Linked DNA regions of Kluyveromyces lactis. The protein of the gene in region 6 purifies or fractionates together with the protein of the main gene of each other region. This does not show direct contact. Links are inferred from orthologs where the notes say so. Each region holds a gene or a part of one and is shown on either strand. Other genes may lie near its edges.

Evidence for each region.
Region 1: the proteins of UTP10 (region 6) and BUD21 purify together in Saccharomyces cerevisiae (affinity purification with mass spectrometry; 4 studies listed by BioGRID). This does not show direct contact. The link is inferred for Kluyveromyces lactis from reciprocal best matches to the Saccharomyces cerevisiae genes UTP10 and BUD21.
Region 2: the proteins of UTP10 (region 6) and RRP45 purify together in Saccharomyces cerevisiae (affinity purification with mass spectrometry; 5 studies listed by BioGRID). This does not show direct contact. The link is inferred for Kluyveromyces lactis from reciprocal best matches to the Saccharomyces cerevisiae genes UTP10 and RRP45.
Region 3: the proteins of UTP10 (region 6) and SKI6 purify together in Saccharomyces cerevisiae (affinity purification with mass spectrometry; 4 studies listed by BioGRID). This does not show direct contact. The link is inferred for Kluyveromyces lactis from reciprocal best matches to the Saccharomyces cerevisiae genes UTP10 and SKI6.
Region 4: the proteins of UTP10 (region 6) and SOF1 purify together in Saccharomyces cerevisiae (affinity purification with mass spectrometry, with the first as the bait; 5 studies listed by BioGRID). This does not show direct contact. The link is inferred for Kluyveromyces lactis from reciprocal best matches to the Saccharomyces cerevisiae genes UTP10 and SOF1.
Region 5: the proteins of UTP10 (region 6) and UTP6 purify together in Saccharomyces cerevisiae (affinity purification with mass spectrometry; 5 studies listed by BioGRID). This does not show direct contact. The link is inferred for Kluyveromyces lactis from reciprocal best matches to the Saccharomyces cerevisiae genes UTP10 and UTP6.
Region 7: the proteins of UTP10 (region 6) and MTR3 purify together in Saccharomyces cerevisiae (affinity purification with mass spectrometry; 3 studies listed by BioGRID). This does not show direct contact. The link is inferred for Kluyveromyces lactis from reciprocal best matches to the Saccharomyces cerevisiae genes UTP10 and MTR3.

What each region holds. Positions count from the first base shown.
Region 1 is NC_006037.1:682,612-685,124, reverse strand, and holds BUD21 (Bud21p), read left to right. Parts: upstream 1-1,260; coding exon 1,261-2,013; downstream 2,014-2,513. Other genes in the region: KLLA0_A07645g (uncharacterized protein), read left to right, coding at 84-902; Mn(2+) transporter ATX2, read right to left, coding at 2,124-2,513. UniProt on the Saccharomyces cerevisiae protein: Functions as part of the small subunit (SSU) processome, first precursor of the small eukaryotic ribosomal subunit that coordinates the first two steps of ribosome biogenesis in transcription of the primary transcript pre-RNA and pre-18S processing.
Region 2 is NC_006039.1:952,774-955,474, forward strand, and holds RRP45 (exosome non-catalytic core subunit RRP45), read left to right. Parts: upstream 1-1,283; coding exon 1,284-2,201; downstream 2,202-2,701. Other genes in the region: RNH202 (Rnh202p), read left to right, coding at 1-942; KLLA0_C11121g (uncharacterized protein), read right to left, coding at 2,426-2,701. UniProt on the Saccharomyces cerevisiae protein: Non-catalytic component of the RNA exosome complex which has 3'->5' exoribonuclease activity and participates in a multitude of cellular RNA processing and degradation events.
Region 3 is NC_006040.1:813,273-815,772, reverse strand, and holds SKI6 (exosome non-catalytic core subunit SKI6), read left to right. Parts: upstream 1-1,262; coding exon 1,263-2,000; downstream 2,001-2,500. Other genes in the region: GPI14 (glycosylphosphatidylinositol-alpha 1,4 mannosyltransferase I), read left to right, coding at 1-944; FYV8 (Fyv8p), read right to left, coding at 2,077-2,500. UniProt on the Saccharomyces cerevisiae protein: Non-catalytic component of the RNA exosome complex which has 3'->5' exoribonuclease activity and participates in a multitude of cellular RNA processing and degradation events.
Region 4 is NC_006042.1:1,438,215-1,441,546, forward strand, and holds SOF1 (rRNA-processing protein SOF1), read left to right. Parts: upstream 1-1,395; coding exon 1,396-2,832; downstream 2,833-3,332. Other genes in the region: KLLA0_F15576g (uncharacterized protein), read left to right, coding at 1-919. UniProt on the Saccharomyces cerevisiae protein: Required for ribosomal RNA processing.
Region 5 is NC_006038.1:119,427-122,426, reverse strand, and holds UTP6 (snoRNA-binding rRNA-processing protein UTP6), read left to right. Parts: upstream 1-1,135; coding exon 1,136-2,500; downstream 2,501-3,000. Other genes in the region: YML6 (mitochondrial 54S ribosomal protein uL4m), read right to left, coding at 1-356, 525-563; chromatin-binding transcription regulator ADA2, read right to left, coding at 2,594-3,000.
Region 6 is NC_006042.1:1,973,755-1,978,002, reverse strand, and holds the start of UTP10 (snoRNA-binding rRNA-processing protein UTP10), read right to left. Parts: upstream 2,801-4,248; coding exon 1-2,800. Other genes in the region: KLLA0_F21164g (uncharacterized protein), read left to right, coding at 3,723-4,248. UniProt on the Saccharomyces cerevisiae protein: Involved in nucleolar processing of pre-18S ribosomal RNA. Required for optimal pre-ribosomal RNA transcription by RNA polymerase I together with a subset of U3 proteins required for transcription (t-UTPs). Involved in ribosome biosynthesis.
Region 7 is NC_006042.1:1,688,687-1,691,083, reverse strand, and holds MTR3 (exosome non-catalytic core subunit MTR3), read left to right. Parts: upstream 1-1,186; coding exon 1,187-1,897; downstream 1,898-2,397. Other genes in the region: CHO2 (phosphatidylethanolamine N-methyltransferase), read right to left, coding at 2,079-2,397.

The DNA.
Region 1 (2,513 bases), on a different chromosome or scaffold from region 6:
ACGTTCTCCAACCGTTCAAGGTCGAGATCTGAATCTAGATATTTAGAGAGAACGTCAGCTTCTACTGTACAGAGCTAAATCATATGAAGAGCTTATTGAATAAGCGGTTTTCGCCTAAACGTCGAAATAAACCAATCACTTACGCACCAGCTTCAGCAGCGAAACCTAAACCCAAACCCAAACCTAAACCCAAACAACTGGACCCACCAATGCAATCCGGTGAGAGCAGTAGCCAGAAAAGCAGCACTCCCATACCAATCAAGTCTATATTAAGACCTGTTGATGGCACGCACGAACATGAGAATAAATCTGTCCGCATTGTGGAATCTTCACCACATCCGGAGTCTGTTCCAATCAGCACACCAACTAGGATAATAGTAGGACCATTACCTGATGGAAATGTTAGTGACTCTTTGGTATATAATGCCAGCGATTTAGAAAAGGGTCATATCGGCGTCGCGGAGGAATCGTCACCGCTACTAGAATCACAGTTGCCTGATTTGACAACATACCAAACAATTTCCCCAGAGTCCAACCCCACTGCACAGATACATTGCTGGTCAACACCCTCGTTGCCAATTCCAATACCACCACCATCAAGCGATCAGCCATGTTCAGGCGACCCCGTGCAGTCACCCTCAATTCCCCCATCCAGGGAATCACCATTTACCAGTCCGTTAAGTCGGTTCTTGCAAATGCTATACGCAAGATATCCTGTCATCATAACTTATATCCTAATCACCATCTGTGTCATTGGGATAATATATTCTTTAGTAACAGGAACTGGTAGATCATATCTCTTGGTTATTATAAAGGCATGTATATGCTGGATAATGGGTACAGACGTGGCAAGAATGCTTTTTGGTACCCAGTTCTGTGATATTGAGTTTAAAGTGTCATGATGTTTCAGTACTGCAAGCTACACATTAAATACCATTAGCATAGCAATAAAGTTGATATAAATTGATATAATCTAACCAACAAATAGCACCAGAACCAGCCAATACACAGCACAGTCCGTTAACGGGTGATGAGCATTCTACTCGTAGTCCAGTGTCAGGAACAAAATCTTCAGCACGTGACCTCTATTTACGTATCATTTCTTTTCGAAGTGAAAAATTTGGACAAAGCGATGAGATGAGATGAGATGAACCACTGGAACTAGTCCATGAAGCAGGTCGTGTTACCGTTCTGTCAGTGTTTCTGTTCAATTGTGCATTGGATTAGACAAGTGGCAAGAGTTTACTGAGAAATATAACAATGGGTTTGAAGAAAGTTCTAGGTTCTGGTGCTGCACTGGTAGCGAAGAGACACTTGAAGTTCGATGATGATGCGGATGATTCATTCCATACAGCTGATGAGGGCAACTCTACCCTAGATGCTCTCAAACCAACAAAAGCAGAAGCGAATGGTGAAAGTGAAAGTGAGAGTGAGAGTGATAGCGATGCGCCAGAAGAAGAAGGCTTGAGTAGTGGGAAAGATGCTATAGAGAAAAGGATTCAGGAAAGAGAAGAGGCTGCAAGGTTACAAGAAGAGGCAGCTAGAGAGAAGAGACGAAAGAACGAGAAAGTGTTCAAGCAACAGCAGCTAGAGAAGAAGAAGAAGCTGCTCGAGTCTGAGGAGGAGAAACAGAGAGAAAAGATGTTAGAGTTTGAACGACAATTAGTAGCGCAGCAGGGTTCGGATAATGATGAGCCGGAAGAGTTACCACAAGAGTTCTTTGATGAGCTAGAAAGTGGATCTGCATCTTCCTTCGCAAAGGCTACGCCGAAACATATTACTTTCTCGGCAGAAGCGCAAAGAGAAGAAGAACAGGCCCTAAAAGAAGAATTACGGAAACAAAAGAAGAGATCACTAAGGGAATTGAGAAAGACCCAAATACAGAAAGGACCTGTCACTGTGAACTTGCTATCGTCGATGAAGGTATCTAAGACACTGGCTCCAAAAAAGGAAACCAGTGTCATGAAATCAAAGGATAAATGGTTGAAAAGAAGAAGTCTCAAACGTAAATAGAAGAGGATTTGTGCCCACATGTACCTATCTATTCAAATATACAGGTCTTTATACATGTGATTTGTCTCGTGTATAATGTATTATCTAAAAGAGGAGTTTCCTGATTGGCTTTAGCTATCATGAGGAGCGAAGAAAGAGATCATTAACGGGATAAAGATACCCAAGAGTAACAATCTGACATCTGGAAGTGATTCTTGTTCTATTTTCTCTTCAGTGGTAACACCTTCGCCCATCTCTAAAACAGAACCCGACACTGGGATCGGGCCATCATTCTGTAACTGTTGTTCCTGGTCCTTACTTGGTGAGATCAACGCAAGCAATGAAGCATACAATAAACTACTACCGCTCAGAACCAATAGCCCATCGCTCATTTTCTCGATTAGGTCCTTGCTGACGAATCTCATCAGGATCACGAATAGCAACCCGAACGGTGTGGATATACTGAATGCAATAAGATTAGAGATTACTTGTAGTTTGGGTAATCTCTGTTTCGAAATCAT
Region 2 (2,701 bases), on a different chromosome or scaffold from region 6:
GAAATATTTGAACTTCCACATCCATCGAATAACGAATCAAAGAAACCTATCAAACTGTTTGTACACGACGATAAAGTATACCAGCTTAAAATCAAAAAGTTCAGTAAAGGCTGTGACTATAATTGCTCGCGAGATTTAGTGAATGATAAATATCATTATACTTCAGATTCGCAAACATTTAAATCCACATTTTTGATCAATGAAGAGAACAGGAAAGATGGACACATACTAGAAGATGGTTCGATACTATATGCCGAAAAATATGACTTAACTTTTAATATATGTGGGTATTATTATAGGAACAACAAAGTTACTAGTGAGGATCTAGCGTTTATTACACCTTGCGTTCCACCCGCACTCGATATGGATACTAACTTTTATACTAGTTCTGATTACCAAGAGAAATTAACGAATAATCACAGTGAAAATTGGGAGAAGATACCTCCAAAATTATGGGAAAGTTGTCTCGGGAAAATATCACATACAGTGGAAGAAGCTGGTGACAAGTATTATCGTATCGAACCTCAAATGATAGTAGAATGGCTACTGAAGAAAGTCATCAAAATCAACAACAACTTCCCTACTTCTCTTAAAATACCAAAATCGCTACCTGAAGATATAGCATCATCTCTGAAATGCATAATGTCGTGTAATCTTCTAGTTTCCTTGATCCCACAACTCGCATACCAGGATCTAATTAGACATGAATCTTCAAATCTTAACATCAAACAATGTTTCGACTCATACGACAAGTACAAGAACGAAACATTACAAACAGAAAGGGAAAGAGAGCTCCTTATCAAAGCTGCTATGTCTACAGCCATTCCAAATGGCACAAAAACCGTAAAGAAACAACCTATTCAAAAGGCTAAAGTTGTGAAACCAAAGGTTGCTAAGGGTAAAGGAAGAATTGACGGATTCTTCAAAACTAACAAAACATAAGTAAGGGCATATAATAATTTCGTAGAAATATCAGTATTGGATAACCTCTATCATTTTGACCTAAAGCTTCACATAACATGCCGTTGTTGAGCTCTAAAATAATTGATCTTCTTCCACTTAATACCTGTCTACAGGGTCTTCCTCCTAGAGAAACTCGCATCAATTTTGTTTTTATTCCTTTTTCATCTTTCTATCATATCAAATGAGACAAAGCTTATGAAAGATTTAGAACTATAACACTTGAAAAGTTAAAGAGTTGCGATGAGCAGCACTGAAAGAGAAAACCATAGCCGAAGAGAGCTTGCATTCGCATATCAAAATAGTTAAATCGATAAGAGGTGATGGCAAAAGATATAGAGATCAGTAATGCTGAATCCAAATTTATCCTGGAAGCGTTAAAGCTTAAACAAAGATTAGATGGACGTTCATATGACCAATTCAGAGATGTGAAGATCGAAATAGGTGAAGCATACGGTGATGTGACTGTTACCATGGGTAACACAAAGGTACACTGTCGTATCAGCTGTGAAATTGCACAACCTTATGAAGATAGACCGTTTGAAGGACTTTTCCATATAAGTACCGAAACTACACCGATGGCAGGTGCTCAGTTTGAGAATGGGAACAATACTGGAGAAGAAGAGGTATTGATCAGTAGGATGATTGAGAAAGCTGTAAGACGATCAGGAGCATTAGATGTAGAAGGTTTATGCATAATAGCTGGCTCCAAATGTTGGTCTCTTAGAGCTGATGTTCACTTTTTAGATTGTGATGGTGGACTAATCGATGCCAGTTGCATTGCTGTAATGGCTGGGTTACTTCATTTTAAGAAGCCCGACGTTACTGTTCTTGGTGAAAGAGTGACGGTACATCCGATTGATGAAAGAGAACCTGTGTCACTAGGTGTTTTGCATGTTCCAATTTGTGTGACGTTTTCATTCTTCAATCCAGACGATACAGAAGAAAATATCAAAGGTGAGGACAATGCAGAAATATCAATCATCGATGCTTCCTTAAAAGAGGAGCTATTGAGAGATGGTGTGCTTACTGTGACGCTTAATAAAAACAGAGAAGTTGTTCAAATCTCCAAAGCAGGTGGTTTGCCGATGGAAGCTTTGTCGTTGATTGATTGTTGTCATAAAGCATACGGAATTGTAGAAAAAATCACTGATCAAATTCATCGTGTTGTGAAACAAGATACCATTGCAAGAAACCAATACGCACACATTTTGAGCTCTGAAAATGCTCGTGAAACTTAAGGAGCATTGTATCGAAGAACTGGAAGCTTTTCTTCAATTATAGATTAATGCTTATGGTTGTACCATATCCCAAGACACTTGGCAGCTAGAAGTCGTTTAATCCATGCCGTTCAGCGCGTTTGATATTGTTCTGTACTATATGTTGTATGTATGAATATACAAATAATGTATCTGTTTGGTGGATATATGAGAGTGTATGCTGTGAATATCTTAGCGATAGTGAATCAAATATAAAGTCTGGTCATGTCTCTTTCTGTTGAGGAAGTCACTGATTCTTCCCGAGCGTTAAACTTTACAATATGTATTAAATTTGGATATCTGTTCAAGTCGTTCTTTTCAAATTCGAATCCGTTTCGTGAATTAAGTTCGGGATACAAATCTCGTTCATCCAACATCATCATGTGTTTGTCAATAGAAATTTGTGTCTCTGGTGCAGAATTCAAGTACCGCTCTTCTGCCGCCAAAATGTTCTTCGAATTAGCCCAGTATGTTACTGTACA
Region 3 (2,500 bases), on a different chromosome or scaffold from region 6:
TATTTGATCTCATTACAGGTGTGATGATCATAAAACTATTACAAGGTTCATGTCAATTGACAAAACAGCTAATTCTAGCTTCTATTTGGTTATTGAACCCGATTGTTATAACGATAAGTACTCGAGGAAACGCTGAATCGGTTTTATGTTTTTTGATCATATGTGCTTTATACTTTTTGAAAAGAGACAGGTTACTTATTTCAGGACTTTTCTATGGGTTATCGATTCATTTCAAGATCTATCCGATAATCTATGCGCTACCGATCGGAATATATCTCTTGTTGTCGAGTCACAATAGAAACTGCATTTGGCGATTGTTCATGATAGGGATATCGACGCTAATCGGCATAACTGCGCCGACGTATTTCATGTACAAGCTTTACGGGAGCGAATTTATCGAACACTCGTACATGTACCATCTCACGAGAACAGACCACAGACACAATTTTTCGATTTGGAACCTGGTCTTACTCTTAGAATCTGCTGGTATTCATCTTTCCCAATCTATCGAACTATCTAAGCTGGCATTCGTTCCTCAATTGACACTATGTGCAGTACTACCTTATCTATTGTGGAAATCACAGACGTTCGAAAATTTAATGAATGTCCTATTCGTACAAACATACGCATTCGTTACTTTCAATAAAGTATGCACTTCTCAATATTTCATTTGGTATTTGGTATTATCCCCATTTTATTTCGCAAATACAACCATTACATGGAGAAAAGGTGTGGTCTGTATATTTTTATGGATATTGTCTCAAGCCGTATGGCTTTCACAAGCATATCTACTTGAATTCAAAGGCCAAAATGTATTTTTCCCCAACTTATTCTTTGGCAATATAGTGTTTTTCCTCATCAACGTCTATCTACTCGGTGTCTTTATCACTGACATCAAATCCAGAACGTCATTCCAAGACAATCAACATAAGAAGAATATATAATTTTAACTTAGCATATACTGTAGCGTACTGTGACATTTTCAAAGCCACGATCGAAGTCCTGACGAGTATTTTGATGTTCCATTCCGTTCATCCAATTTCATATCCGTTGTCAGATTCACTCGCTGCTGTTTTCTTCATACTGATTATTGAAATAGAATTTGAAAAAAAAAAAGTATTCAAGTTTTGAATCTTACAAGTGAAATATGAGCTCATCGACATCTACTAGAAGAAGTACATTCAAAGCAGAGGCTGTCAGATTGAAATTAGCCCCTCCAGCTAGCGTGTAGGAAAACCCACTTTAACTAACAGAGTAACATAATGTCACGTTTTGAAATATATTCTCCAGAGGGATTGCGTGTCGATGGTCGTCGTTGGAATGAGCTAAGAAGTTTCAACTGTTCCATCAACACTCACCCGAATGCTGCAGATGGATCCTCGTACTTGGAACAAGGTAACAATAAGATTATCACATTAGTTGCTGGTCCTCAAGAACCATCCTCGAGGTCACAAGTCAATACGAAACAAGCTACTTTATCCGTTACTATTAACTTAACGAAGTTTGCCAAGATGGAAAGAAGCAAATCAAGCCATAAGAATGAAAGAAGAACCTTAGAATGGCAAGCTTCGTTAGTGCGTACATTTGAAAAGAACTTGATGCTTCATCTCTATCCTCGTACGTCAATTGACGTTCAAGTTCATGCTCTACAGTTAGATGGTGGGATTCTTGGGGCAATGCTTAATGGAATAACATTGGCTCTGATAGATGCTGGTATCGCAATGTATGATTTTGTAAGCGGGGTTTCAGTGGGACTTTATGATACTACACCACTACTAGACCTTAACTCGCTTGAGGAAAATGCAATGAGCAGTGTTACCATAGGCACAATTGGTAAATCAGAAAAATTATCTTTATTAATGGTGGAAGATAAAGTGCCTTTGGATAGACTTGAGAGTGTCATGGCCATCGGAATAGCAGGCACTCACAGAATTAGAGATTTAATGGATAAGGAGCTTAGAAAGCATGGAAAAACAAGAGTTGAAAACTCTTCGAATTGATTTTTAAACCATTAATTATAAACTTCACATAACATGTAAACATAAATGCATTCTACAATTCGGATCTTGCCTTTAACTACAATTTTTTACCTATAGATGAGAATAACCCCTTAGATTTTTCTCTCATGCTGCTAGAAAACATCTTCTTCTTCAAATGTGTAACATTTTGGTTCACCGTATTTGCGACGCTGTTCTTTTTACTCAAAATATCCGCTTGAGCATAAGCATCTTGAACATGTTTATTGACTTTGTAGTCTTTGAAGATAAAATCCTTATCAGATGTGGTAGAAGACTTCAAAGCATATTGGATCCAGCTCTGGAGTCCGGAGTCATATTCTTTTAATTGTTCCTTGTAATTGTTTAATTTTTTTAGTTTTTGGGAGTGAAGCTCATTACTGCTTAAAAGCTTGACCAAGTCTAGATTCGGGACAGTTGACTGGTGAACCACTGATGGAATTTCATCTCCTTCAGAACTGAATGCTTCTTTTAATTTTGATTCA
Region 4 (3,332 bases), about 540 kb from region 6:
TCGTTGTGGATTCAACTCTAAATGGGATAGAGAAAAGCTGACCCCCAACGGTGAATGGGATTGGGATCTAGATTCTATGACCAGATATGACCTTGAAGCCCTTATTGAAAGTGTCCTCCAAAAAAAGCAAAATAAGTTTGAGAAGCTTACCTTAGTGGCCCATTCCCAGGGTACCACACAAGCTTTTATGGGACTTGTAAATGGTGAAGAGATCTACAAAAATACAGAGTTCAGATTGAGTGATAAATTAGATAATTTAGTTGCATTAGCACCTGCTGTTTATCCCGGTCCACTACTCGATGAAAAATATTTCGTTAAGTTTATGGCGAAACACATAGATAATCGCTGGGTATTCGGAAACAAATCATTTGTACCAATGATGATGGAGATGAGAAATTTGTTGGCCGGACACAAGATATTCTCATTTTTGTCTTACGTCATGTTCAACTACTTGTTCAACTGGAACGATATTTTATGGGACAGACCCTTGCGTGATAGACATTTCCTATTTTCTCCAGTGCATATATCTGTGAAATTGATGCAATGGTGGTTAAGTCTTAACCCTTTAAAGTCAAGCTTCAAGACTTTCGCCGAAGACATGTTCCCCGACATCAAGACCTGGTTCCCAATACAAAATGAAACAGTAAGTATGGATGAACATTTACACAGAAATCAACATAAACCTTTGCCAGAAAATTGGCCAAAGATTTTACTCTTCACACCCAGGCAAGATAGACTTGTAGACGGAGAAAGATTGATTAATCACTTTATCAACCACGAACCACACTCTGTCTACAAAATCTGGTATATTGATGAGTATTCACATTTGGATGTTCTATGGGCCAGTGACGTTATCGAAAGAATTGGTAACCCAATGCTTGCACATTTGAGAATTCCGAAACCGACATTTGCCAGTTAATTAATACAGATAACTTTGAATCACAGACTAGAATGGAATTTTGACACTTTGTTTCCATTTTGTGCAACCCAACATATAGATATACAGTTCTGCAATCATTACATTTTTTGTAAGATATATAATATACTAATGACACTACTTAAACGGTAAAAAAAGGGTACACAAAGATAATCCCAATACAGCTTTGGAAACTCAAGTACTCAGTGACTGTAGCAATGGCTAAATCATGTTGTTGTTATTTTAATAAGGTCTTTAACTGTCATCTTATATCGTCCTTGTATATTCGGCATAATTTCTTTTTAACAATTTTTCAAGTTATCGAAATGCAAATCTCATCTCATCTCATCGCATCATAAGCAGTGAAAGGGAATGGGAAGAGGAAACCACTGGAACTGTTTCCATATCATAGTTGCTGATTAACTAGCACAAGGTCTACCATATTTAGTGCCAACTGGGGATATTGAAAGAATAGCGAAATGAAGATCAAAACTATCAGCAGAAGTGCCGATGATTATGTGCCGGTGAAGAGCACACAAGAGTCTCAGATGCCTCGTAATTTAAATCCGGCTCTGCATCCATTCGAAAGAGCTAGAGAATATACAAAGGCTTTGAATGCCACCAAGCTTGAAAGAATGTTTGCTAAGCCATTTGTCGGTCAGCTTGGATACGGTCACAGGGATGGTGTGTACACCATTGCAAAGAATTACAATGTATTAAACAAACTTGCTACGGCTAGTGGTGACGGTGTTATCAAGTACTGGAACATGTCAACTAGAGAAGAGTTAAGTTCATTCAAGGCACATTACGGTATGGTTACTGGTCTGTGTGTTACTCCTTCATATTTATCTCCACAAAGAGAAAACTTCATGCTTTCTTGTGGTGACGATAAGACGGTGAAGCTATGGTCAGTGAATTCTGACGACTTTTCCAACGTTAAAGATGATACAAGATTGAATACAGATGAAGGTATCATCAAAACATTCCATGGTGAACATGCTTTCCAATCTTTGGATCATCATAGACAAAAATCGAATTTTGTTACTGGTGGTGCCCAAATCGAACTTTGGGATACAAACAGATCAAAGCCAATATCAAATCTTTCATGGGGTGCGGACAATATCAATCATGTTAGATTTAATCAAAATGAGGTCGACATTTTAGCAAGTACGGGTAGTGATAACTCTGTGGTTCTTTATGACCTAAGAACAAACTCTCCAACACAAAAAATTGTTCAAACCATGAGGACAAACTCTATCTGTTGGAACCCAGTGGAAGCCTTCAACTTCGTAATTGCCAATGAAGATCATAATGCTTATTACTATGATATGAGAAATATGTCCAAAGCTTTGCATGTGTTTAAAGATCATGTTAGTGCTGTTATGGATGTTGATTTTTCCCCTACTGGTGACGAAGTTGTAACAGGCTCCTATGATAAGACAATCAGAATTTACCAAGTTAAACATGGTCATTCGAGAGAAATATATCATACAAAGAGAATGCAGCATATTTTCCAAGTGAAATATACCATGGACAGTAAGTATATAGTAAGTGGTTCAGATGATGGTAACGTTAGACTATGGAGAGCCAAGGCATGGGAGAGATCTAATGCGAAGAGTACACGTGAAAAGAATAAGTTGGAATACGATGAAAAACTTAAAGAAAGATTCAAGCACATGCCAGAGGTCAGAAGAATTAGCAGGCACAGACACGTCCCTAAGGTTGTTAAGAAAGCTCAAGAGATTAAGAAGATTGAAATTGATTCTTTGAAGAGAAGGGAAAGAAACGAAAGAAAGACAAGGAAAGACATGCCATTTTTACCTGAAAGGAAGAAACAAATCGTCGGTACTGTCTTTCAATACGAGGACGACAAGAAATCTAATTCGAATAGATCCAACGATTCCGAAGATGAATAAAATATATGAATTTCTATCAGTTTTGAATTAGATATTTATAAATTTGTAACGTTAATAAGCTCGAAACATGTCTCTTTTTTCTTGAAGTTATAAATCAAGGTAGTTGATCAAGTTTTCCTTTCAATGAAAAATCGTTTTTAGCAAGGAACTATCTTTTACCGAGATTAGCAGATATCTTCTTTATAATTTGAATCATGGGTTGCATGTAACGAATTGAATCCTTTCATATTCTTTTACAGTATTAGATTAGAAGTATAGTTCCATAATAAAAGTGAGAGAAAAAGAAAAAAAAAAAAAAGAGGAAGTGAACACAAGAAGAACCAGCCTTGCTTGCCCAATATAATATGATGAGTATTATAGTACTAATGAGTCTATCAATTTGAAACTATGGCAATGAATATTAGAGAGAGGGAGAGAGAGAGAGAAGAAGATGTGGTCATGCAAAAAAAAAAAAGACCCAATATATGCAATCGTTTGCATAAACAAAGCATAAAATGAAT
Region 5 (3,000 bases), on a different chromosome or scaffold from region 6:
GCTGTGGTATAATCATTTGGTGCAGTTCTTGCTAGAGCTCTACCACCGTTATGCCTTATTGGTGAATTAGCGTCACCAGCTCTGGCCATACCAGATCCCTTTTGTGGTAAAATCTTTCTTCTCGAATAACCAACATCACTTCTGCCTGGGGGGTTAGAAGACCCAACACGTTTACTGTCATTTTCGTAAACAACAGCACGCCATAGTAAGTCTCTTCTCAATGGAGCATCAAATACTGAGGTTGGCACTGGTGCAAATGTCAATGGTTCTAATGATGGGAATGAACGAACCGTTGCTAAGGTATATTTTGGCGGTAGACTAGCATTAGGAAGGGGTTTGTTGGAAACGTAACGGACCTGTAGAGAATAGGGAAAAGAGTAACAAAAAATTACGAGCAATAGTTAGTAAATCGATCTTCTAAAAGTAGGTGATATAACTGCTTAATGCGGAAGGATATCATCATGCAGTTTGAGGAAAGCCCGCGCTTTACCATTGCAACAGTGATGAAAATGGGTTTGACATACGTTTTTGCACAAATTCAAACCTTGTCTCTTGGAAAACATGGCTGATTCTGATACACTGACTTAATGTCTCGATACAAAGGGGATCAATTGGACACTCCTATGTCTGATCACCGCAAACAAATCAATCATCTTTAGTATTCAACCTATTTCATATTCAGATTTTTGATTATCGAAAATTTGTCTACCATGTAAAATATCCGGGTAATGTTAAATTGCCCGAATTAACGATCAACAAAACTGTCATCTTGTATGAAAGCATACAACGACATTAAGGGTCGCAGTTTATGGTAGTCCCGAATGTCATATGTAAGCGGATTCAATTTGCAGTAAAAAAAAATCCGATTTACGCTAGCAGAACAACAATTGTACTTGTCCTTTTGTTATTCATCGATGGTTATTTAAATGGAGGACTTTATTCTGACTGATTATATGAAAAAGAAATCAATATAACCAAAAAAATTCAAAAGCTTCAAGGCTCATCTCATCTCATCTCAGTATTATTTAGCATGAACAAAGCCAGTAGTCGTTTCCTTTGTCAGTAAGCGAGCGATACGAGTCTCCGTGATTACACTTTAATCAATACTTAACATAAAACTACCCAGAGTAAGGCGATGTCATCCAGAACAAGATATTACTTGGAACAATGTATTCCAGAAGTTGATGACTTAGTGCAGAAGAAGTTATTCACTAAGAATGAAGTAAACAAAATTATGAAGAAAAGGACTGATTTTGAACACAGATTGAGTTCGAGAGGTTCAAGTATAAGTGATTACATCAGATATATTGAATACGAGAAGAATGTCGATGCATTAAGAATGAAACGTGTTAAACGTATCTTGCAATCGAACAAATCAAATAGTATTTCGGATTTTACCATACAGCAGAGGATTCTCTATATTTTCCAAAGAGGCTGCAATAAGTTCCCAAAAAAATTGAAATTTTGGTCTTTATATTTGAATCATTTAAAATCAAAGGGTACAAATGCCTCTTATAAAAAGATTCAAAACGTCTACAATCAATTGCTCAAATTACATCCAACAAACGTTGACGTTTGGATATCATGTGCTAAATATGAATACGAATTGCACGCAAACTTCAAGAGCTGTAGAAATGTTTTTCAAACTGGTCTTAGATTTAATCCAGATGCTTCTAAACTCTGGTACGAGTACGTTAAATTCGAACTGAATTTCGTGACAAAATTGTTAAATAGAAGAAAAGTGATGAATTTAATCAACGAAAGGGAACAAGAGCTAGATATGCTACAACAGCAAGAGGAAGGAAGAAACTCCAGTAATGTAACAGGTCTGGAAGAAACTGCAGATGACGAAGCATACTTTGACAAAGACGGAATTCAACTTCCAAGTACTGGTGACAAGATGAAAGATAAACTAAACGAGTTACCAGAAGCCGATATGAATATGCTTGGATCAGAAGAAACTAATCCAGCACTACGTGGTGATGTCGCATTGGTTATATTCGATATCGCAATGAAGAATCTGGGCACATCTTTTGTCAAGAAACATCAAGGATACTACGCCGTTACCAATTCGCAAGTCGATGAAGAGCTCAGCAGAAACGTTATGTCCTACCTGTTTGATAGATGCCTCGAGTATATCAACTTATTTTCGGAATTTCAAGATTTAAAAAGAGAATATCTGATAAATCACGTATTGCAATGGCTAAAGGACGAACATTATAATATTTCCCTTGAGAAAAGTATGCCAGAAAAATATGTGGAATTATTATTGCATGATGTTACATTAAATATCAAATTCATGCCTGCCGGCGAATTAAACATCGACAGTCTCCAATTGTCCTTCAAAAAGTATTCTGCATACATCAGCAAATTAGATGAGACGAATGCCAAACAACTTACTACATTATATTCTGGTTATTTGACCCAACATCTATTATCCAATATGGATAAATCTGATTCGAAGTATGCTATTTTGAATGCTATTATCAAGAAACTGTAATGAGACACTGTATACACATTTTTATGTACATATTTGACATTAAGTAGTAAGGTAAGCAGTGGAGCCAATATTTCCACAGTTTTATAACTCTAATTAAACCCAATTCTGAGAAACGAAGAAATCATAGATTCTGTTGGCCTTCGTTGCCTCGATATTCAATAAATCACGACACTGTTTCTTCGAGAGTTGACCTGCAGTCCGTATTAATTCTCTGAATAGTACCTCTTTGATGGCAATGTAAGGCTTTGGCAAAATTTTCAACGTTATGCATAACTGCTGTTCCTCAGCTGATAATAATTGGAAATCTGCCCCATGCTGAATGTCACTGATAGTCATTAGTTTCTTACGTCCACTTCCTTCGTTATAATTTTGAGCATAATCAGCTTGCGATCTATGGGCCGAAGTAGCTCTATAACGGGCAGTGTTACTAGATGAAGAAGAAGAGTACACTTGACTTCCAAATCTTTCCAATGTCATAATTCTTGCTTGTTTATCACGTT
Region 6 (4,248 bases):
CAGCGACTAGTATATCTGCTCTAATAGAGGGTAATTTCATACTTCCGTTGTTAGATTTTAGAGAAGAAATAGTGTTCAAAAGACAAGAGGACAGAGTTTCCTGAGCGTAAAGTACAGGCAAACCACCATCATGGTCTAAAGTTTCCAAGTCGGACAAAAGGTTGAATAAGGCATTCAATAGATTTTCGTTACTCTTTACCTTCAATTTATCCAAAGTCTCCAGAATAATAGTCATTTTCTTTAGGTGGGCTTCGGCAATTTGAGAAATATCTTGTTTCTGTAGGGCGGACTTGTTAACCGTAGACGATCTTCTTCTTCTACGTTTAGTCAAATCTGTTTGATCTTCGCTGTTTATGGTATTACTTTTCAACACAGAGACAAAAATATCTGCAGTTAATGGAAGACTTTGAAGGGTTTCTAGACCATCATATGATAGTTCTTTGTCAACTGAGGAGTCTATTATACTCTGAACAATTTTTAATTGGTTTGGGAATTTCAATGTTGGATACAAAGATAAAATTCTGTCTGCCATGATATTCGAAAGTTGTTCATATTCTGATTCCAAACAGTTAATCAAAAAATCTATCGCGAAACTGTTTTTTTCTTTTGGTGCAACAATGGCACATACCGCAGTTTCGAAGTCTTTGAAATTGGTTTTATTTTTGATGCACTTCGTTTCCCAGGAACTTCTTTCCGTGATGTATGTGGCCATAAATTGTTCGAACACCTTTGAATATGTAAAAGCATATTGTGGCACAGCGGTCAAGAGCTTTAACATTATAGTCTTCGAATAGGCGAGAGGAAGATGCAGTGCCTGGTTGCACCAAAACAGCATATATACCATGTCATTTTTGGATGGAATGACGAGGGATGAAATATCTGTACTTTCAACGATGTAATCGCTTAAAAAGTTGGTCAACCAAAACTTGCTATCTTTCGGACTTAACATTGGCACCTTTAAATTCTCTCCGTAGAGTACGTTAGATAGGAAATACTTTGCTGTGAAAGGTCTCTTGGCTATCTGTTGTAGAACCTTTTTCGTGTTGGAACGAACAGATCTAGAAATATCCATCAATGCTGTCACTAGAATAGGTACCAAAGAGAAAAGATCCGTTTGCTCATCTATACCATTGATGAATTTGCTTAACTGTGTTAGTGAAATCAATCTGAGAGCAACAGGCGAACCAGGGGATACGATGATTCTGAGCACAAACGTTATCCTGCTCTCTAAAGTAGTGAAGAAGGAGGATAAAAATAGACCTGGTTGATATCCTTTACTTACAGCTTCCACAAATAATGACAACAGCTTGACAAACTTTTCATCTTTAACAAGAAGCATAGACTCCGCTTTAGTGGAGATGAACTCTGAGTTTTTGGTCATGAAATCTTTAAATGGAACAGCTGAACCATTCGCGGTTGATGCTTTAGCATCATCTAGAACTTTAATGATATCTTCACCAGATTGTTCCGCACTGTTCTTGACGGAAAATAATGAAGTTGTCAATCTTATTTCGAAAACTTCTCCGGTCAGGTTTAGTGCTTGAAGACATTTCAAAACTAGTCCCTCGTTAATGGAAATGAAGTATTCAAAAACATCGATTAATTGTGACTTGTCCTCTAGAACTTCAGATAAATGTATCAAATCAGTGATGATAAATCTAACTTCGTATTTTTCCAACTTAATCTTCCTTAAGATTTTGACAATTTGACTCAATTTATCATGATCATATCTGATGACAGACCTAATGTATGCAGTGAAAAATTTATCTGAGGAATATTTGTTTTCATTACTCAGGAACTGTAGTAGATATTCGAATGGGAAAGAATTATCAACGAGTTTATAGATCTTGACCGGTAATTGATCCACATTACCTACACCTTTCAAGGTTTGGAAAAGTTTTGAGATTGTGACGAGAGCTTTTTTTCTAGCATCGTCTTCCTTTAAATTGGCCAAGATAGTTTCCGTAGCCGCAATGATAATGCTTTTGTTCAAAGGCAATGCGGTGGCAAGTACCGCGAGCATAGTATGAGCAGCCATTTGACAATCGCTTGAATCCGATGCCAAAAGTTTTGCGGAAATTTCCAAAATCAATGGGACCAATTTATTTAACTTATCTTCATCGTTCGCATTGAAAGCGATCACGTTAATGAAACAACATGTGGTAAATAGCAGTTGATTCGTATAGGTAACTTTTTGCTTGATAATCTTGGACAGATAATTTGAATAAAGCTTCAAGAAGTCCATATCGTTAAACAATTTGATCAACGTCAAATCGGTTGGATTCTTATCGTTTCTGACAAAATTGGTAAATGGGTTGAACAAAGGTGGTAGCTTAACGATATTGAGGATCCTTTTGAACACCGGCGTTTGGTATTGGTTCAAAGTAGATAGAAGAAGCATTTCGGCGTTATGGATATGAATTTGGAACCTACGAATCAACCATTCCGTAGCATGCAAAGCTGGAGTTAGATGCCATTTCGGCGAAATCAACATCAAATACGCATTAACTGCGTTATCCAAATCTCTAATCTGATCCTTTGTTTGAACGTTTCTATCAATGGTCACGGAAGATGCACTGAATAAGGAATTAGTGAAAACTTTGAACCTCAAGTCCAAACTCACCAAAGTATGAAACGATTCCAACGCTGTATCGTATATATACTCATAGTCCTGAGTAGCAGCAGTCTTCGGATTGTAAACCAAAGACGCAGAATGTAACTTTTGTCTTCTCTTTCTATCAAGAGCAACAGTAGCGTTATTCTGCGCTACCTGCGCTAATTGATCACGTAAAGATGACATTCTATATCGTCTCTGCCGTTGCCTGGAGTACTAGCAAGTCGAACCTGATCAAAAATCTATCGCCAGGAGATGATTGCAAAGCCAACGATTTGAACCTCATCTCATCTCATCTCATCGCTACTTTTTTTTTCTTTCACTCTTTAAAATTTTCGATTTGTTCATGCTGCGGTGAAAAGAAATTCATTTATGGTCACGTGTATGAAAATGGAGTGATACCATAAACTTGGGTCAAGTCTCCCCGTAGCTCAATATGCAAGCTACTGGTCAGTTTCCACCTGCTTTCGGATCTATTGAAGTACATACAGACTTAAGAGTTGTTTCAATACATCATGTGCCGTGCAAGGTCACACTACAAGTAATGGCTAGTTTCTGAGGAATTTCGGATCTCAGCCAACCGTATAAGCATGTTTGGCATAAACAAGGCTCATAGCAGCTATCTACTTAGCAATGCCTCAACGTTTCCATTTGAGGGTGTGTGTGAGTTGTGTGCGTTGGGCCTGCGTTCAGACTGGCTTTTCAGCAAAGGACCGGCTCATATAAGAACAAAAGAAAAACACACCTGGCTGGAGCGATGTGGTTATGCGGCGATGTCTCTGCGATTAAACTTAGATCCGAGATCTAGGCGGATGGTTCGTCCGAACCAATCTCAATGCAAAGGCTTGGGTGAACTGCAAAAATGTTTTCTTCTGGTAAACAAACTACTTTTTCGGAAGTTTGAGGCTGAGCACCTTCCTTACCTTAGTTTGCATTATGTAATTTACCGCATTATAAATTTTGTACCGTTTATTTTATATATAGGCAACGACAGGTTTAAGGAACCTTCTATCAAGATTGAATAGCGATGAGCTTAGGGGTTACAACTTGCGGAGAGATTGTTTATCCAAATAACGACATCAGTTATTGAGCCATTAATAATTCAGTCATGAAGTGTAGTACTTTGTTGTTATCTTTGGCTTTAGCTTTAGATTCCGTTTCTGCACGCGAAGGGTGCGATAAGAAATTGAGAGAGTCCTCTCATAAGGAGAAAGAGTTCAACCTAACTCGTGAATACGCTGCTGAGGTTGCTAGAGGTGTTGTTAAGTATGGTGACTTGGTTCATGTTTCTACTTTGAAGGATGGAAAGACTCCGGTGACTTTCCCAGAATACTATGTATCTTCTGATTTATGTGAGGGTGTGAATTCCACAGGTAACCCAATCTTGGTCTTGATGAACGTTTCCTCCACTTTGAGAAACTATCAGGATAACGGCAAGCTTTCTATTACCGTGGAGGACAGAAGGCCCAGACATCACGCTATGAGTTCTCCTCGTGCCAATCTTTTCGGTTCGTTGAAGAAACTTGAAACGACCAAGGCTTTGAGAGACTGTTACGGTAAAAGACACCCAGATGCCATCCCATGGTTACCTGGTGAAGAAAGTTTGGTCCATGATGGTGCATTCTACGAATTTG
Region 7 (2,397 bases), about 290 kb from region 6:
TACTCGTTGTTCCCTATGTAAAGATGTATGTTGGCCTTATTCAACGGCTTTCTGCCTTGATGTTCTTGTTTTTACGATTCAATCTCTCTTAGATTGTTAGTTTTTGTTCAAGAAAAAAGATTGTAGGTTAACTGTCATTCATGATATTCTGTCCTACTGCAACTTGTTTGAATCAATGGACATTCCAAGTTATATGGTTAGACTTTGAGCAATATTCGCAGAGTAGTTTGATTTTAATCAGAGTCCTGGGCTATTGGTGGGGTGTAATATCAAAAATCTTTATAATTTCTGCCAGATGCCTGGAAGAAACGTTACACTAACAGAGTCGGTTTAATTCAAAAATGTACTTTGGTCATCCTTTTCTTCGGTGGTTCAACCAATGAACGAATGACTTGCCTTGATTCTTGAAACCTATGCATGAAAGAGCTTCTGGTGAGAGCATTAGCGAGGGTTCGGCTTTCGATCTGGTCCAAGTGAATAGCTTCTGACTTTGTCTTGATGATACACCCAGAAACGATACTGGCTTTTGTATGTACGACTGGCAAGGCGGGTTAGAGTGGGGTGTTTTAGTTGCCAAATCCCAGGTTGTGAGGGGGGGGTCTCCGTCTGCCCCTCCACCGGTTTGCGAAAACGGTCACCTGGCATGAACCGGAAACAAGTGCTGTTTGGAAACATATGAGAAACATATGAGAAACACCAGTTAGTCACGTGGTTATATAACTTCACAAAGCAGTTCTCTCCGTTTCCTTCTGACGTATGAGGTGATGAGCCGAAAGCTAGTACACGACTCTTTTTCAGAAATACGGATCTATTACTATTTACTGGTTTGACAATACCGGGCGACAGCCACTTCTTCTGTTTAGAAATCATTTCACACGTACTGATCGTCGGTTGATTTGTAAAAAAGTTCCAATGCTGCCTGCCGATAATTTGGAAACAAGTACGGTACGGAAACAAACGGGAAACAAATAGGAAACACATATATATTATCACGTGATGACGTTAGAATTTTTCCATCTCGACTATTTCAATCGTGGTATTCTGTTAGTGACCGTTTTGCAAGTGAATATACATGCGATGAGATGCTTCCAAGTTGACGTTGGCTAGTGCCATATCAGCATATATTTACTTGAGTTTGTTTCCCATCGTTATATTAAACTAATACCCACAGAAGAGAGGTCTATTAATGAGTGTGCAAGATAGAAGAAGAATATTAGGGCCAGCAGAAGCGAAGCCATTGCAGTTTGCTGCAATTACTCCTGTAAGAACCGTAGAGAACAGGGACGATGGTAATGGTAATAAATCGGGTAAGGAATCTGTGTTCATTAGTACGGATTTAGTAACGAATGCAAATGGTTCCTCATACCTAGAATATATGGATGGTACTTCGGATCAAGTTCTCGTAATGAGTTCTGTCTTCGGACCCAGGCCATTGCGAGGCTCCTTCCAATCTAAGGCATCAGTATCGATTCAGTTCAAAGAAGTTACGTTAGAACATTTGAATACCGGAGAAATTAAAGAAATTTGTACTTTCCTAACAAATGTCTTTAATGCGGTGATAAACGTTGAGAAGTATCCAAAATCTGGTATTGATATCTTTATAGATTTGATCCAGCATTCTAATAGTAATCCAACAGAGGAGGCAAATATCGTTAATATTCTACCCACATGCATTAATTCTATTACCATGGCTCTTGTAGACGCAGGTATTGAAATCATTGATTTAGTGAGTGCCGGGTCAAAAGATAACTCTGTGGTTGCGTTTATTAGGAATGGACATGAAATCGTCGGTATTTGGAGCGATGACGATAACGTCACTGACATATCAAAATTAATAGAAGAGTGCAAGGCAAAATATTTGGTAAATAAGCAGACTTTGGTTCAATATCTTAAATGAAATGAAATGGTTAACGTAATTTCATAGTGATTCATAATTAATGTGACACGAACGCTTCTTCTGTATTAGCAAAATAAAAATATACAAGGCTTTACCATTAAGGGTGAGGATTCGTTAGAAACATATCCTATTTATACATGGGTTGATACTTTAGATATAGTTAAGTACAATAGAATGCGATTTATTCCAAGTTATCTAACACTTGCTTGATTTGCCATACTTTTTTGGTGATAATATCGATATCAAAATTGGTACGTTTCATGTAAACAACGGAAACATCGGTGTCCATAGTAGACTTATACCAGTTTTGTAATGTTTTCCCAGTGAAATATTTGTTCCTATTCAAATCAAATTTATTATCATTGATTAGAACACCACATTGTTTCAAGAACTGCTTCGTGGTAGCAATTAATTGGTCCACGTCTTTTACAGTTTCTTTAAATTGAGGGAATAATAACTTGAAAGGTTTCGAGATCATAACAACATCGTGACTGTTAGCA